Canis lupus familiaris: one gene and its partner. The protein of the gene in region 1 purifies or fractionates together with the protein of each later gene. This does not show direct contact. Links are inferred from orthologs where the notes say so. Each region holds a gene or a part of one and is shown on either strand. Other genes may lie near its edges.

Region 1 (4,187 bases):
ATGGGGAACTCAGGAGGCTGCTCTGTCCCCCCAGGTCTTCACCTCAGATGCTGAGGCCTCCAGTGAGTCCGGGCTTCATACGCCGGCGTCTCAGACCACCACCATCCACATCCCCAGCCAGGATCCTGTTGGCATCCAGCACCTGCAGCCTGCCCACCGGCTCAGCGCCAGCCCCACCGGTGAGCAGCCTTTCCCTGCTCCCTCAGCTGGGGAGGAAGGTGTGTGCCACAAGCGGGAGGGCACCCTGTGCTCCCCTGAAGTCAGCCAAGAGGGGTACAAAACCACAGGAAAATGGGCCTATCTTACAGGAATGTCTCGTTGACTCTGTTGAGGAAAAAGATTAATTGAAAGAGGCAGAGGGTACTGATGAGGAGTACGCGGGGCTGCCCATGGGGCCAGAAGCGGCGCACAGGCGTGTTGGTGTGGCTCAGGGCTTAGCCCTGTTTGAGTATGTTGCCCACATTTAAAAGTTAGCTTTCACAAAGAAATCATGGTTTCTGGCTTTTCTTGGAAAATTGGAGACTCATGTTCCCATGTTCAGTGACAAAAGAGTGTGGGCTCTCCAGGTCACCACATCCCACTTGACCCATTCGGTTCAAGTCCCTGGTGCCCTGCATCTGCAATGATGAAGAGCAGGCCCCTGGAAGTCAGGCTGCTGGGCTCTGAGGCCGCAGGCGATCACTTGCTAAGTGCGTGACTTTAGGCCACTACCCTGCTCCCCATTCCCCTCCCGGAGCCTCAGCTTCCTTTCTCTAGTGCTAGTGGCTGCAGTGACAAGTTACTGAGGGATCCATGGGCCAGCCTCCATGCTTCATCCATGGGGCATGTGTCATCGTCCCCATTTTACAAATGAGAATTTGCACACTCAGGAGGTGAGGGACTTGACCTTGCCTCTGACAGTGACCAGGTGGCAGGGCCAGGACTTGAACCCAGGTCCAAACTCAGAGCCCATTCTTTTAGCCACTGGAGTCAGCCAGGGTTCTGTTTGAGACACAAGCCAACAGGAATACAGTGTTGACCCCTGAATAACACGGGTTTTGAACAGCCTGGGTCCACTTGTATGCTGATTTTTTTTGGTAGAGCACAGGACTGTTAAAAGTACTTTTTTTTCCTTAGGATGTTCTTTTTTTTTCTTAAAGATTTTATTTATTTATTCATGAGAGACACACAGAGAGGCAGAGACAAAGGCAGAGGTAAAAGCAGGCTCCCTTTGGGGAGCCTGATGTGGGACTCGATCCCAGGACCCTGGGATCACGACCTGAGCCAAAGGCAGATGCTCAACCACTGAGCCACCCAGGCGCCTCTCCTTAGGATGTTCTTAGTAACATTTCTCTAGCTTACTTTGTTGTAAGAATACCACGTATAATACCTAGAACACGCAAAATATGTGCTGACTGTATATGTTACTGGTACGGCTTCTGGCTAATAGTAGGCTATTAGTAGTTAAGTTTTTGGGGAGTCAAAAGTAATATGCAGATTTTTGACTGTGCAGGGGGTCAGTGCCCCCAACCCCCACACTGTTAAAGGGCCAACACAAGTATATGTAAGAAACTGGCTCAGGTGCCTGTGGGATGGCAAGTCTGAAAGCTGTAGGGCAGACCAGCAGGCTGGCAACAGAGGTAGGATTCCTTTTTCTCTAGGGAACCACAGCTTTTGTTCCTAAAGCCTTCAAATGATTAGATGAGACTCCCTCACGTCTTCAAGAGAAATCTCTCACTGTTTCCAGCCAACTGATTATAGGTGTTAACCACATCTACAAAATACCTCCACTGTGACACTTAAATGTTTGGTTCAATGCCTGTACTATAGCCTAGCAACGCTGACGCATAAAACTAACCACACCATCTCACCAGGGCTTCTCAAATGTTTCCACTAAAATGTTCTGAGGAGGCCACTCACTGTGCGGCCCCCGAGCCTGGCTGGGGGCGTTGATGAGACCCAAGCATAGAGGTTTGGTTTTGGAGTTCTGGTTATCTGCTGCAGTTCAGGGGATGGCAAGGCCTCGTGTCCTCGGTGCCAAGAACCCCTTGGGATGGGTGGGCGAGGTGGGGTCAGGAAGGGCTTGGCCGGCAGCCAGCTGTCTCACTCGCCCCTGCAGTGTCCTCCAGCAGCCTGGTGTTGTACCAGAGCTCCGACTCCAACAACGGCCACAGCCACCTGTTGCCATCCAACCACAGCGTCATCGAGACCTTCATTTCCACGCAGATGGCTTCATCCTCCCAGTAACCATGGCAACGCCTCCCAGGGGCTGGGCCCTGCCTGGAGCCTGCCTGGCCTACTTGGGGGGTGACTGGGACATCTGAGCCTGTGACACTTTCACTGCCACCGGAGTGCAGCCTGAAAACTGTGCCTTGGTTCCCAGCCTGCTCTGTCAGCGTCAGAAAGAGTTCCAAGGCTCCCCGACCTCAGGAGGGCTGCTTCAGTGCCCAAGAGGGGACTGTGGAGAGCTGGGAAGCAGAGCAAGACACAGGAGGGACTGTTCCTGGTGCTCAGGGTCAATCTTGTCATTTGGAACACAAGGGCCGGCCTTTGGATTTGGGGACCCTGGTGCCCCTGGTGCCCCCAGCCCATGCCTGTGGAGAGCCCCAGAACCCCCAAGGGCACTCTGGCAGTTGCACTTCTCAAGACATGAGGCTGTGGAGCTGTGACTCACTGAGCTCCAAGAGGCCCAGGATCAACACAGCCCCATCCTGTCACCTGTGTCCTGATCAGGTCCCTCCACCCTGCTCCCCTTCTAGCTATAGTCCCACATGCCTGTTTGTACCTACCCTGCCCCTAATCGCATGAGCATTCCCCAAGTGGTTCCTCTGTGCTGGGGCCTGGGGCTTGGATGCAACCCCCTGGGAGAGCTCCAGCTAGCAGCAAAAAGCATGCAGGGCTCTCCAGCTTTTCTCGTGCTGAGCCATCCCTCTCTGCAGCCTCTTGGCCGTCCGTTCTCCTGGGTATCACACCTTCTAATGCCAGTCTGGCATCTTGCCTCTGCGGGAAAGACCCCCTCTGGGCTAGGAAATCATCTCTGCCCCATGGGAGCCTTGTGACTGCGCCTGGTGCTGTCAGGATTCTGAGCAACAGCTCCTCTGGCCTGTGGGGCCCTGCAGCCCCTCCCTGGTTTGGGGAAGAAGCTGCTGAGCTTGGAAGGCACCAAGGCCTGAGCAGGTGGCAGATCCGAGGGGCCCAGAGAAGGGAAAGGAACCAGTGGAGAGAAGCCACTTGCATGGACAGGATTGTCACCGGGCTGGCTGAGGGATGGGGAGAGGTCCAGCTACACCCAGGCCCCTGAGGTCCCGAGTGCCACCAAGAGAGACAAGCCAGCTGTGTAAACCTGGAGCTCCGTGGCCTCCACTTCCTGGGGCTGCTGCAGATAACCTGGCTTGCAGACTGCTCCCATCCTGGGACTGAGGAAGGGGCCAGGGAAGAACCAGCGCCCCCTGCAGCTTGCAGCCAGCTAAGGGCAAACCTGTACATTTATTTAACTTTTAGTAAAGGAAAGGAGGAACGGAAGAGTGGAAATGAGTAGTGGAAACTTCTTGCTTGTCCACACAGCGCCCAGGTGGGGCTGGGCAGGCAGAGGGAGGCGGGGGGTGGGGGGGGGGTGGGGGAGGGTGAGGGACTGGGGCCTGAGGAGAGATGGCTCAGTGCACAGACTCTCAGGTCCCACCTCTGTCTTTGTTACTCGGCTGAACTCCGGAGGCAAGGCCACGAAGCCAGAATTTCCCCTTAACTCTGAGCTGCTCCTCTTTCCTGCAGAACACTCCTGGTGTGTAAAACCCCATCCACAAGTGCTGCGATACTTTCCAGTCTTGAGGCTGGGGTGCGGGAACACCCACTGGGCTGCAGGCAGCAGGACACCACCTATGTAATGTTTACTTAAAATGTCTCATCAAGGTTCAGCATTGATATGGAGGCAGCACCCCAATCACTTTAAGTTTGGGGTCTCTCGACAATTTATTTTCAATAATCTGGCTGGCTCAGAGACATGATTGTACATGGTACATTCACAAATGGAAAAGACTTCTGGAAATCTGGAGTGGGGGACGAATCTCTCCTTTTTCAGACAATGTTACATCAAATCTGTGTGGCCTGGAGGGAGAAGTACAAAACTCTTTCTGGGCCGACCCCTTTCCTCCATCTCTTAAGGTGGTCTCCCCCACCAGGCTGAGGAGGTGGGAGGGAAGGCAAAGCTCTCT
Region 2 (4,549 bases), on another chromosome or scaffold:
TGGACCACAAGCAAAAAGCCCTTGCCTTAGTAAAGTGAGGTTTTTTCCAGGACACCAGGAAGACAAATCCCTCCAGTCTGGCCAGAGCACTGTCCACCCTGTTCCTGCACTCACCCTGGTGATGAAATTCACAAACCCAGAGTTCTGTTGGTTAACAGGCCCACATTTCCAAGCTATTTGTTTTTTAAGGAAAGAAATCTAAACATCACGGCTAGAGAAAGAAGAGAAGGATACTGTAGGAGAAGTCAAAAGAGCTTAGCTCTCCAGCATAAATGCCAAACAATACTTCCAACCATATCTATTTTCGGAGCTATTGAAGGCTCAGGTGAGAGAGGGACTGTCACCCAGAAACACAAAACGTATTATAAGGTGTCCTCACGAAATGCCAACTGGAGGCTGAGCTGGATCCTCCACTGTGAAAGTACAACTCGTTCCCATTTTAGAAATCCTGAAACCTTTTATCACTGACATTAATGTAATTAAGAGGGCAGAATCAGTGAAATTAAGACAACTTATTTTGGGCACCTGGGTGGCTCAGTGGTTGAGCCTGCCTTTGGCTCAGGGTGTGATCCCGGGGCCCCGGGATCGAGTCCCACAGCGGGCTCCCCATAGGGAGACTGCTTCTCCCTCTGCCTATATCTCTGCCTCTCTCTCTGTCTCTCATGAATAAATAAATAAAATCTTTAAAAAAAAAAAAAAGACAATTTATTCTAATAAAAGGAAAAAAAGGATGCTCATGAGCCAATTTTCTTGTTTCTGTTCCTTGCCAGGTAGCCACCCTTCCCACAACATAAGAAAAAAAAAAAAAAAAAGAAAAGAAAAAAAAGTCTCTAATAGAAACATTTGAAGACTTCTTATCAAAACCAATTACTATTGGGGCACCTGGGTGGCTCAGTGGGCTAAGCATCTGCCCTCAGCTTAGGTCATGATCCCAGAGGCCTGGGATCAAACCCCGCATCAGGCTCTCTGCTTCTCCCTTTCCCTCTGCCCCTCACCCCACGCATGGTCTCTCTTTCTCTCTAACAAATTTTTTTAAAAAGCCAAACAATTACTGTTAATATTAAGATCCAAAACACTGGGACACCTGAGTGGCTCAGTGGTTGAGTGTCTGCCTTCAGCCCAGGGCATGATCCTGGTCCTGGGATCAGGTCCCACATCAGGCTCCCTACGAGGAGCCTGCTTTCTCCCTCTGCCTGTGTCTCTGCCTCTCTCTCTCTCTGTGTCTCTCATGAATAAATAAATAAAATCTTAAAAAAAAAAAAATCCAAAACACCTATTCATTAGTTTTATAGTGACCCACTATAGGAAATAATCTAAAATTCTTATTAGTCACTTAAATATGTTAATTCAACTCCAAAAATTATGTAAAAGAATTTAAATTATCTGTGTCCACGCTGAGTAGCTGCCAAGAAAACCATTAACCATGCTGTGGGTAATGCAGCAGTCACCTGAAGTGAGCAAAACATGCCCACTGAGCTGATCTCCACATTCTCCACCCTGCACATCCCCAATGAGGGCAATGGTATGTGCTCTGTGCTCGGTACTTGCCACAGGTGTCTGCCCAAGAACAGGGACTGAGTCCAGGACTGTGAAATGGAGCCACTTCACCTACCTAGCACAAATGGTCCCCTTGCAGATACACCTTCTGCAGAACCCTTTATGATGGGCTTAATTTTTTTTCTGCAGGAGATGGGGACAGGGATAGGGAAGAGCATAGAGTCTGGAGAGAATGAACTTGATTCAAGGCCTAGCTTTGTCACTTTCAGGTGCGGTGACACTGAACAAATCACTTAGCTTCTCTCAATACCAGTATCCTCATGTCTCTGTCTATGTCTATGGTGGGGGTATCACAACAACTACCTGTCAAACTTTTTTGAAAGGGTTAAAGAGATCTTGAATGTAGACACCTAGCATAGAGCCACCATGGCTTGGTGCAGCCACTCAAATCATGTCGTTTATTCATTCCTCTGAACCCCGTAATTTTACTGGATTATCAGCACCTTGGGTAGAGGTATGCTTTGGGACACGTTTAGGTGTCAGTAAGCACTCAACTCGTGCTCTCACCTTACTGGCCACGAAACAGAGTCCATCATCATCATTAAAATATATATATATTTTTTTTTTTAGATTTTATTTATTTATTCATGAGAGAGCCAGAGAGAGGCAGAGGGAGAAGCAGGCTCCCTGGGGGAACCTGACGCGGGACTCTATCCCAGGACCCCGGGATCACGACCTGGGCCAGAGGCAGACGCTGAGCCGCCCAGGTGCCCCCGTCGTCAAGCTACCTTAAATGAATCCCTGTTAAACACTTTCCAACTGCCCAGGGGGCTCTAGCAAGCGACGGAGGATGAAATGGGAAGTTTAATGCAACATTTCCCCACTAGGTGGTGCTGCGTGTCCAAACTTTCCCTCAGGTTCATTTATCTCCATACATTAATTTCCACGGCCGGTAAAGTGACGGGACGCTCTGCGGAAGAGGAGAGAACAGATCTGTCCCCTGTAAAATAGGTAAGTGTCCCTAATAATTCCTCCTAAAGCAGCACATCCACAGCAGCGCGCTGACCCCGCGCCGAGCGGCGTGGAGCCGGGCCCCGCTCTCAGCCGGCGCACCAGCGAGCGCAGCGCCCGGGCTCGCTAAAGACAGCTTTACCGCTACTATTCGTGCTCGTCTTTCTTTCTTTTTTTTAAGCCAAAATCGTCCTCGGTTTTGTTCTGGCGGGCAGCTCCGTAGACCGCGACGGGACACGCCAGCCCGGAGGTCCGGCAGGGGCCCCGCGCCCGCCCGCCCCCGCGCCCGCCCCCGCCCCGCCGCGGGGCCCCTCGCTCTCCTCCCGCCGCGCTCTCCTTCCCCCCGGCTCTCACCCCGGCCGACAAGCTCGCGCCCCGGCCCCGCAGAGTCGCCACCACGAGCCGCGACGTCCCCCGCGCCGCCGCCATGGCCGCCGGCCGAGGGCTGCCCGCCGCGCTGCCTGCCTGCCGCCCGCGGGGCCCACCGGGGGGCCGGGAGCCGCGGGGCCGTGCGAACGGCCTCCAGCCGCGCCGTCCTGCGAGCGCCCGCGCGGCCCGCCCCGGAAGGGCCCGGGCGCCTCAGGGCCGCCGACCGCGCGGGCGGCAGGGGGCGGCAGGCGGCAGGGCGGCAGGCGGGCGACCCCGCAGGCCCCGCAGGCCCCCTCCAGCCCGGGCGGGGAGCGGGGCCGGGAGCGGGGCGGGAGCGGGGCCGGGGAGCGGGGCGGGGAGCGGGGCGGGAGCGGGGCCGGGAGCGGGGCCGGGAGCGGGGCCGGGAGCGGGGCCGGCGGGCTGGCGCCGCTGGCTGCGGGGCGCTGGGGCCTGACCCACGTTCGCCGACGGTGGGCGCAAGGACTCCGCGGGCCGGGGCGCGAGGCGGTGGGCGCCGGGCGCGGGTCGGCCCGTGTCCCCGCCCGCGGAGGGCCAGAGCCACCGTGGACCGGCCCGGGGCGAGCTCCGCCGTGCCCGCCGGGGAGTCTGGGAGCCTGGCCCTCCGTGCCCCGCGAAGAGAAGCGCCCGGGGCGCGCTCCGCAGAGGAACGTACGCGGGTTATTTACGGAAGTGTGTCTCTTTCTGGAAAAGGGGAGGGGGGGGTCTTTTATGTATTCACTAATATTTTATTCTTACTCCTTTTTTTCTTGCCTTTTTTTGCGATGGGACGCCACATACCATAAAATTCACCCTTTGAAGTGTACAGTTTACGGCCTTTTAGTGTATTCACTTGGATCTTTTACTAGTTTAAGCAAATTAATAATACAGCCAAATTTTTAAAAAGATTATTTATTTATTCATGAGAAACACAGAGAGAAGCAGAGACCCAGGCAGAGGGAGAAGCAGGCTCCTGCAGGAAGCCCAATGTGGCATTCAACGCCAGGGCCCTGGGGTCATGCGCTGAGCCACCCAGGGTTCTATAATATAATCCATTTTGCCTAACATTTAGCCATATACTAGAGAATTTTTTCTATGCGTGCCCATTTAAGTTCAACTTAGCAGGTGCTAGCAGTTAATTTTTTTCACATATCGATTGGGGGATAAGCGTTTTTGCCTTAAAATATCCTAAAATTCAGACTTATGGCTCAATCCATATTCTTACCTTTGCCCACTTCACAAAAACTTAATGGAGGAATCTCTGCAGACCCTGATCGGATGTCACTGATCTCAAAGCATTCATCTAAGACATTCTAGTTTCCTTTGGTGCCTCAAGTGGGCAGAGACTGGAGACAGGATTAAAAGTTTCATTTCCAGTACTTAATTAGGTGTATACAGTTATGAAGAATACTCTGCAAACTTGCTTATTGAAGTGAGAACTGCAAAATGAACTGGTGGGTGTGAGGTAACAAGAGATTCCTGATCGGGAGACCTGGGTGGCTCAACAGTTGGGTGCCTGCCTTTGGCTCCGGTCATGATCCCAGGGTCCTGGGATCGAATCCCACATCCGGCTCCCTGCGAGGAGCCTGCTTTCTCCCTCTGCCTGCGTCTCTGCCTCTCTGTGTCTCTCGTGAATAAATAAATCTTTGGAAAAAACAAAACTCCTGATTGTTTT

Evidence for each region.
Region 2: the proteins of HNF1A (region 1) and PCBD2 purify together in Homo sapiens (affinity purification with mass spectrometry; 4 studies listed by BioGRID and IntAct, with this or other methods). This does not show direct contact. The link is inferred for Canis lupus familiaris from reciprocal best matches to the Homo sapiens genes HNF1A and PCBD2.

The regions. Positions count from the first base shown.
Region 1 is NC_049247.1:17,167,105-17,171,291, forward strand, and holds the end of HNF1A (hepatocyte nuclear factor 1-alpha), read left to right. Parts: intron 1-34; coding exon 35-179; intron 180-2,098; coding exon 2,099-2,226; 3' UTR 2,227-3,510; downstream 3,511-4,187. UniProt on the Homo sapiens protein: Transcriptional activator that regulates the tissue specific expression of multiple genes, especially in pancreatic islet cells and in liver. Binds to the inverted palindrome 5'-GTTAATNATTAAC-3'.
Region 2 is NC_049232.1:22,974,424-22,978,972, reverse strand, and holds the start of PCBD2 (pterin-4-alpha-carbinolamine dehydratase 2), read right to left. Parts: upstream 2,962-4,549; 5' UTR 2,938-2,961; coding exon 2,863-2,937; intron 1-2,862.